2 linked regions of the Callithrix jacchus genome follow. The protein of the gene in region 1 purifies or fractionates together with the protein of each later gene. This does not show direct contact. Links are inferred from orthologs where the notes say so. Each region holds a gene or a part of one and is shown in the gene's direction. Other genes may lie near its edges.

What was found.
Region 2: the proteins of NELFE (region 1) and NELFCD purify together in Homo sapiens (affinity purification with mass spectrometry; 9 studies listed by BioGRID and IntAct, counting the BioPlex papers as one, with this or other methods). This does not show direct contact. The link is inferred for Callithrix jacchus from reciprocal best matches to the Homo sapiens genes NELFE and NELFCD.

The regions. Positions count from the first base shown.
Region 1 is NC_133505.1:39,471,351-39,475,625, reverse strand, and holds the end of NELFE (negative elongation factor E), read left to right. Parts: intron 1-609; coding exon 610-684; intron 685-804; coding exon 805-842; intron 843-1,008; coding exon 1,009-1,364; intron 1,365-1,476; coding exon 1,477-1,621; intron 1,622-1,788; coding exon 1,789-1,843; intron 1,844-2,085; coding exon 2,086-2,188; intron 2,189-3,497; coding exon 3,498-3,595; 3' UTR 3,596-3,668; downstream 3,669-4,275. Other genes in the region: CFB (complement factor B), read right to left, coding at 3,851-4,006, 4,266-4,275. UniProt on the Homo sapiens protein: Essential component of the NELF complex, a complex that negatively regulates the elongation of transcription by RNA polymerase II.
Region 2 is NC_133506.1:54,549,243-54,553,656, forward strand, and holds the start of NELFCD (negative elongation factor C/D), read left to right. Parts: upstream 1-1,449; 5' UTR 1,450-1,459; coding exon 1,460-1,546; intron 1,547-4,414. UniProt on the Homo sapiens protein: Essential component of the NELF complex, a complex that negatively regulates the elongation of transcription by RNA polymerase II.

The DNA.
Region 1 (4,275 bases):
GTGTACACCTATAGTCCCGGTTACCGAGGAGGCTAAGGCCAGAGACTTGCTTGAACCCAGGAGGCAGAGGTTGCAGTGAGTTAAGATGGCACTCCAGCCCAGGGGACAGAGCAAGACTCTGTCTAAACAGAAAAAGGAAAAAAAAAAATAAGAAAAAACAATGCCAGGTGCAGCAGTGGCTCATTCCTATAATTTTAGCACTTTTAGGAGGCTGAGGCAGGAGAATTGTTTGAGCCCAGGAGTTTTAGACTAACCCTGGCAACATAGTGAAACCTGTCTCTGCAAAGAAAAAATACAGAAATTAGCCAAGCATGATAGAGCGCACCTCTAGTCCCAGCTACTAGGGAGGCTAAGGTGGGAGGATTGCTTGAGCCTGGGAGGTCAAGGCTGCAGCAAGCTATGATTGCACTATTGCACTTCAGCCTGGACAGCACAGCAAGACCCTGTCTCAAAAAATAAAACCACATAGTCAAATAAGAAATGTACATAGAATTAAAAGGAAAAACAGATCAGAGGAAACCTAGAAGAAGGTGAGCAAAGAGGAACACCTTTGTTCCATGGTTGGGCAGCCTTCTGCTCCACACTGAGGGAGGTCCCTCACCTCTCCAGGACCCTGAGAAGGGACCAGTCCCCACTTTCCAGCCCTTCCAGAGGAGCATATCTGCTGATGATGACCTTCAGGAGGTAAAGGCTCCTAATTTTCTGTCTCTGAGGGGTTGGGGATAGAGGAACATGAGAGACTAACGTATTTTGCACCACATGTCAGCAACTGGGAATCTTAACTATTATTGGTCTCTTTTACAGTCATCCAGACGTCCCCAGAGGAAATCTCTGTATGAGAGGTTAGAGAGTAGAGATAAGACTGGGCCCACTTGGCGGGGTTGATTGCCTGAGTCCTTGGGAGGTTTGGGCTGTAGGGGCTGTGCTGTTGAGGGAGTGTTGAGTCTCCACAGGGTCTGAGGGGAGAAGGTAAAAGCCCCCTTTGATCTTCAGTGTGCTTCTCCCCAGCTTTGTGTCTTCTAGCGACCGGCTTCGAGAACTAGGGCCAGATGGAGAAGAGGCAGAGGGCCCAGGGGCTGGTGATGGTCCCCCTCGCAGCTTTGACTGGGGCTATGAAGAACGTGGTGGTGCCCGGTCCTCAGCCTCCCCTCCCCGAAGTCGCAGCCGGGACCGCAGCCATGAGAGGAACCGGGACAGAGACCGAGATCGGGAGCGGGATCGAGACCGGGACCGAGACAGAGACCGGGACCGGGACCGGGACAGGGATCGGGATCGAGAGCGGGACCGGGACAGGGATCGAGACCGGGATCGGGAGCGGGAGCGGGACCGAGACCGAGACCGAGACCGAGAGGGTCCTTTCCGCAGTGAGTGAGCTTGCCTGGAGGTCAAGGTGACCTTAACTAAGGTTTATGTGGGTCCTACTATGTGAAGTGTGGCATGGGCTATGTCTTGTGACTGTGATTCCTGATCCCAAAGGGTCGGACTCATTCCCTGAACGGCGAGCCCCTAGGAAAGGGAACACTCTCTATGTGTACGGAGAAGACATGACACCCACCCTCCTCCGTGGGGCCTTCTCTCCTTTTGGAAACATCATTGACCTCTCCATGGACCCACCCAGAAAGTAAGGATGACAACAGGGCAGGATGAGAAGGAAGTCCTGGGGGAATCCTGGGGTATGAGACCTGAGGGAAGAAGCTGCCCTGCCTGCAGCCACCTATGATCACTGGGTTTGGTTGGGTCCACAAGAGCCCACTGGCTCTCCACTGACCCTGTTTTCTCTTATCCTAGCTGTGCCTTCGTCACCTATGAAAAGATGGAGTCAGCAGATCAGGCCGTTGCTGAGGTTGGAACTTCCCAAATCTGTTCTTCCCATCGCTTCTGCTGTTCTCATATTTTCTCAAAATACTAGATGCCAGGAAGAAGTTGGTTCCTCTTGATAGAGAAAGTCTCCCTATTCACGCAGAAAAACTTATATTCTCAGATTCCTATTCAGTCTACTCCTAGGATAGCAACCCCTGGAATAACTTCTTTGGTTTATCTGTAATGTTTTGTTCCCCGTCCTCTGCCTCCCCTCTTCTGCTTCAGCTCAACGGGACCCAGGTGGAGTCTGTACAGCTCAAAGTCAATATAGCCCGAAAACAGCCCATGCTGGATGCCGCTACTGGCAAGTCTGTTTGGGGCTCCCTTGGTAAGAATGGGATTCTTCCTTCCCCATCGTCTCTCCCACAGCCCACTCCTTTTGGTTTCCCCTCATGTACTTGGGTTTCCGAGAGATGACAGAGGTCAGTTTGTGTGGAGGCTGTGGGGATGGGAAGGAAAATTTCAGATCCTCCGTCAGAGGTAAAGAAAGGAGAGAAAAGGATTGAAAGCAACTTCCAAAGCAGTGACTGAACAGGAAAGAAAGTGGCAGCTGGAGTGAGATTGGTGAGAAAGATGAGTGTCTCATGGGACTTGTTCATTTCAAGATGGAGTAGAACAAGTTTCATCAGTATTTAAAATCAGCGATCTGGAACTCAGGTGTGAGGTAAGGAATGAAAACATAGATTCAGTCATCCACATCACAGCGATGCTCCCAAACAATAACAGGGAGACTGATTTCAGAGGGAAAAAACGACCCAGGACTAGGCTTGAGGAGTACTCAGGGACTGTGTTAGGAAACAGGACTGTCCTCCTCATGCCCCACGTATCCCCAGCTCTCCTGATGTGTTAGGCTAACGTTGAGCCTGATGTAGCAAAGGAGACAGGAGCAGGAGTCGGGGCTGGGAGCAGCATCAGAGGGGCCTGGGTCACTGAAGCCAAAGGACACACACTTTGAGATGAGAGAGTAGCCAGTAGTGTCAAGGTACAGAGATCACAGGGTGGGAAGTGGGTAGGAGCCATTCTCTCTAGCCCCAGAGTGGTGGGGATGGAATTGTTAGATAGGGTGAAAAGAGTGACATGTCTGATGGAGGGAAGAAAGAGAAAGGGGAAGAAATAGCCAGGGACTTGAGAGAGAATGGTGAGGGCCAAAGCTACACCCTGGATGAGTTCTCCTGGTGGAGCTAGTAGCATTTCTTAGTGTGATTAACCATTCTACCTGAAAGTAGATGTTCCTGGGAAAGAAGTGAGCAGAAAGAAGGGCTCAGAGCAAGAATGACCCTTCAGACAAAATGAAGGAACTAGAATTGACTAGCATGTCAACAAAGGGCTACAGAGGTTTTCTAGTTTTTAACTTTTGACATACTATAAGTAGTGGGTAACATCGTTCACGTGTCTCAGCAATGACATTTGGGATTTTTCTAAGAACAAAACATTCATCATAATATCCACTTGTACTCTTCTTGGCCATGGGTTGGCACGAAGGAGCTAAGGGAGACAGACAATCCTGGCCACCAGAGGGCAGTGTGAAAACTTGGCTTCCAGAGACCCCGGCCAGGAGTGAGGTAGTCCAGAGTCGGCCTCAGGGTCTGATCTGTGTTCTCCTTTAGACCTTAACTCTTCCTCTCCTCCCTCCCTAGCTGTCCAGAACAGCCCTAAGGGTTGCCACCGGGACAAGAGGACCCAGATTGTCTACAGTGATGATGTCTACAAGGAAAACCTTGTGGATGGCTTCTAGGGACCAGAGCTGGATTCCTTGTGCCTCATATGCCCCAATGCTGGTCTCAGTAAAACACTGAGGTGGAAGCTTACACATCTCCCTCAGCCTCTGGTTTTTCAGCACTTGGGATTGGGGTTAAGCCTTTAAAAACGGCTGTGAGGTTTGATCTCTGTAACAACATGGCCAGTGCCTGTTCCCCACTCCATCGCCCCAAAAGGATCTGGAACACAGGTGTTGTCGCAGCTGTTTTAATTCAGTCCAGCAGGAAACCCCTTATAGAAAACCCAAATCTTCATCTTGGAGTTTCTCCTTCAGCCAGGGCAGCACTTGGAAGAGGTTAATGTGAAAGTCTCGGGCGTGAGCAGGTACCTGCTTTTGCCGCCTGTGGTTTTTGCAGACGTCCACTACTCCCCAACTGATTACACCAACCTGCAGAGGCAGAGGGGTGCCGTGGATCATTCAGTAGACCTCCTTTCTAATCCTGGAAGCATGGCTGATCCTGGTTGTGTCTTAGCTGACCTAAAGGAATCAGACTAGGGACCCAGCTCAGTCTTGTTCGTTCAGACACAGGCCAGACATGTGGCCCTGAGGTGAAGCAGGCCCTGGGCTCAATATACATTGAGCTTTCCTGCTTTCGGGCCTGTGCTGACCACTTGGCATCTCCCCAGATAGGAAAGGGAGGACTCACTTGAATGAAA
Region 2 (4,414 bases), on another chromosome or scaffold:
AAGCTCTTGGGCTGAAACAATCCTCCTGCCTCAGCCTCCTGAGCTGCTAGGACTGCAGGCATGCATCACCATACCTGGCCGAGGGGATGGGGATGTCTCTGTATGTTGCCCAGGTTGGTCTCAAGCTCTTGCCTCAGGCAATCCTCCCACCTCAGCCTCCCAGAATGCTGGGATTATAGGTGTGAGCCACGGCGGTCAGCCATGGAAATTTCCTTTTAAAGTATCCAGATCTGATGGCGTTAAAATTTCACCCTGCTTAAAATTTTCCACGATTTGGACACAAAGATGGGAACAACAGACCCAGGGGATTCCAAAAGGCAGAAGGTGTGGGAGATGGGGTGGGGTGGGGGGGGGGTGAGGGGGTGCGGGTAAAGGTTGAAAAGCTGCCTATCTGGTACCATGTTCACTACTTTGGTGAAGGGATTATTAGAAGCATCACACAATATACCAATGTAACAAACCTGCACATGTACCAAATTTAAAATTAAAAAAGCACACACACACTCAACAGCCAACAAAAGCCTTTCCGTGATTATCAAGAGGCTGTCATGTTCTTACTCCCTACTTCACATTAGAAGTGTGCTGCGGGCTTCACAACAGCATCACCTGCGCCCTTTGGCAGCTACCAGGGAGGTCCTTTCTCCAGAGATTTTTGTGGGCTCTGGACACTTTTGCTTTGCGGGCCTTTCCTCCATTTAAAAAAAAAAAATTAAAAACGTTACTTTCCACTGCATTTAGTACTTTTTCTTTTCTTTTCTCTCTTTTTTTTTGAGACACAGTTTCACTCTGTTGCCCAGGCTGGAGTACAGTGGTGTGATCTTGGTTCACTGCAACCTCCGCCTCTAGGGTTCAAGCGATTCTCCTGCCTCAGTCTCCCTAGTAGTTGGGATTACAGACGCCCGTCACCACGCCTGGCTAATTTTTGTATTTTGAGTAGAGATGGGGTTTCAGCATGTTGGCCAGGCTGGTCTCGAACTCCTGATCTCAAGTGATCCGCCCTCCGAGGCCTCCCAAAGGGCTGGGATTACAGGCGTGAGCCCCCACGCCCTGCCGCGTTTAGTACTTTTTACCAAAAATAAAAGAAATTAAAACACTTTCGTGGGTTCTAGACACTCCCCAAAGAATTTGTTCCCAGCTGTCCGATGAAGAAACTGGCGCTCGCAGGGCTGGTGCAACAGGAGTGAGACCGTGCACGAGTCCAGTTGGAAACCTCTCTGCATAAGCCCCTGGCCCACCCTAGCAGCGCTCAGAAACCGATTGGGGGGCGTTCCTTTCGCCCGGTCCTCTTTGTTCCTAGCGGGAAGCCCGCGGCTCTGCTCCCCCTCCAGGCCCCACCCCTTCCTCCAAGCCCCGCCTCCCGCCCGGGCCGAGCGCGCGGGGGGCGGGGCCGCGGGGCCGCGCGTGCGTCCGCTCGCCCGTTTTCGCCTCGCGCATGCGCCACGCTAGCTCGCGGTAGAGCATGGCGGTGTCCGCGCCGGGAGCCATCATGGATGAGGACTACTTCGGGAGCGCGGCCGAGTCGGGCGACGAGGCTGACGGCGGCCAGGTAAGGCGGGGCATCGGGCGCTCCCCGGCGAGGATCGTTCGTCTCCGCCGCCGGCGGGCCGGCTCCGCTCCCGGCAAGCCCGCGCGGCGCGAGGCCGCGGGCGTGCGGGGTGTGTGCGCGCGCACGGCCTGCGCGGTCTCCGTGTGGTTCTACACAGCCCGCCCCGCCCCCCCAGCCCGGGGTCCCTGCGTCTTCGCCTGCAGGACCGTGGGGCGGGGACGAGGCGGCGGTGGCTCTGGAGCGGGACAGCCCGAAGCCCCCAGTGACCCCTCGTTCCGGCCAGCCTCGGCGCCGGCCCTGCGACCCCCACGGCGGGTGGGACACCAATACTAAGGTGGAGGGTTGGGCTCGAAGCCCAGACAGTTTTAAACAAAAATAAAATGGAAAACTTCACACCAGCATCGTGGGGAAAAAGTAAAACTTTGGGCATTCCTACTGTGTTTCACTGTTTTATAAACTGTACTCTTCAGCACCCCTGGCCGATTTCATCTGTCTTTGGACAAAATAATGAAAAGGATCTTCTGGCCTTGACCTTCCAGGGTTTGGAGTGGAAGCCCAGGAGGGGTCACTCTATTCTCCCCTGAGGACAGGGCCTGCAGAGCCAGGGAAGGCAGTTCTAGTCAGGCTGGTTTGTCACCACCTTTTTCTAACCTTTTTTTTTTTTGTTAATGAGAGCTTCTTATGTTGCTCAGGTTGGCCTTGAACTCAGCCTCGCTTCCTCAAGCGCCAGGACAACTGGCCGGAGCCTTTTTCTAATCTTAAAACCCACCTGCTGCGCATGATTGAAATGTGCAGCTTCTCAGGTCCCTACAGTTGATCTGCACGAGAGCCTAGGAACTTGCATTTTTTTTTGAGGCAGAGTTTCACTCTTGTTGCCCAGGCTGGAGTGTAATGGTGCAATTTCGGCTCACTGCAACTTTTGCCTCCCTGGTTCCAGTGATTCTCCTCCCTCAGCCTCCCGAGTAGCTGGGATTACAGGCGCCTGCTACCACACTCATTTTTTAAAATTTTGAGTGGAGAGGGGGTTTCACCATGTTGGCCAGGCTGGCCTCAAGCTCTGGATCTCAGGTGATCCATCCACCTCGGCCTTCCAAAGTTCTGGGATTATAGGTGTGACCCATGCGCCTGGCCCAGGAACTTGCATTTTTAACAAGAATCAACAATGGGGATATTTGGTCCATTTTGAACTGGTATTTTGAGGGAATGAAGGATGCAGTGGGCTTACTTCAATGAACATGGATGGTGGTGTGATGACGGCTTCGGAGCTGTGGTAGCAAATAACAGGACAGGCGATGTGTTTCTGGAACTGAAAGAAGGCCTGTGAGGTTAGCTGCCTGGTGGAAGCAGTGGCAGGAGGTCAGTAGGGAGCAGGTCTGAAGATCCTTGGAGAGCCGCTGAATGGCTTGTTCAGGAGTTTGGGGCAGGAGGTGATATGAGTAGATTTGCATGTTGGATCATTTCACAGCGTTGGAGGCTTAGGGTAGAGTGGATAGAGAGTCAGATGTGGCTGAGAGCCTGGGCCATGTGCTTCATGCATTATCACCTTCCACACTCAAGATTTTGAGTTGGGTGTTACTCTATCTGGTAAGTGAAGAAAGTGAGGTGGAAAGACTTAATGACCTTCCCAAAGTCATGAAACTAATAAAGGAAGGAGAGGGGACCCAAACCCATGTCATTTGCCTCTATTGCAGCTTCATCAAATTGCTGACCACCAAAGTGGTCCAGATGAGAGGGTATGAATTATCTTAGTGGTGGGTTGGTGTTTGGGGCATCTCGTATATCACCTTGAGACTTTTTTCTTTCTTTCTTTTTTTTTTGGGGGTGGGGGGGAGTCTCACTGGGCTGCCCAGACTGGAGTGCAGTGGTACGATCACGGCTCATGTAACCACTGTCTACCAGGTTCAAGTGATTCTGTGGTCTCAGCCTCCCTAGAAGCTGGGAGTACAGGCACCTGCCATCATGCCCAACTAATTTCTGTATTTTAGTAGGGATGGGGTTTCACTTTCACCATGTTGGCCAGGCTGATCTTGATCTCCTGACCTCAGGTGATCTGCCTGCCTCGGCCTCCTAAAGTGCTAGGATTACAGGCGTGAGCCACCACGCCGAGACTTTTTCTCTCTCTCTCTTTTTTTTTTCAGACAGAGTCTCACTCTGTTGCCCAGGCTGGATTGCAGTGGTGTCATCTTGGCTTACTGAAACCTCTGCCTCCCGGGTTCAAGTGATTTTCCAAGTAGCTGGGATTACAGGCTAATTTTTGTATTTTTAGTAGAGATGGGCTTTCATCATGTTGGCCAGGCTGGTCTCAAACTCCTGGCCTCAAGTAGTTTGCCCGCCTCAGCCTCCGGAAGTGCTGGGATTATAGGCTTGAGCCACCACCCCTGGCCTCACCTTGAGCCGCTGAGTCAAAAAGTGTTAGAACTGGGGAATGTAAGGGCCATCTAATCTGCCTTCACTTCCAACTCTAGACCCTGCTGTTGGAAGATTGGGGAATTTTTTTTTGAGACGGAGTCTTGCTCTTGCCCAGGCTAGAGTACAATGGTGTACTCTTGGCTCACTGCAACTCTTATCTCTCAGGTTCCAGCGATTCTCCTGCCTCAGCCTCCCTAGTAGCTGGGACTATAGGCTCGCTAATTGCCTGGCTAATTGTTGTAGTTTTTAGTAGAGATGGGGTTTCACCATATTGGCCAGACTGGTCTTGAACTTCTGACCTCATGATCCGCCTGCCTCAGCCTCCCAAAGTGCTGGGATTACAGATATGAGCCACCATGCCCGGCCTCATGTTTGGGGAATTTTGATCATGATCCTAATGTATCCCATTGACACCAGTGGGCTCTCATTGATGAGGAGGGTGGACCAGATGTTCATTTC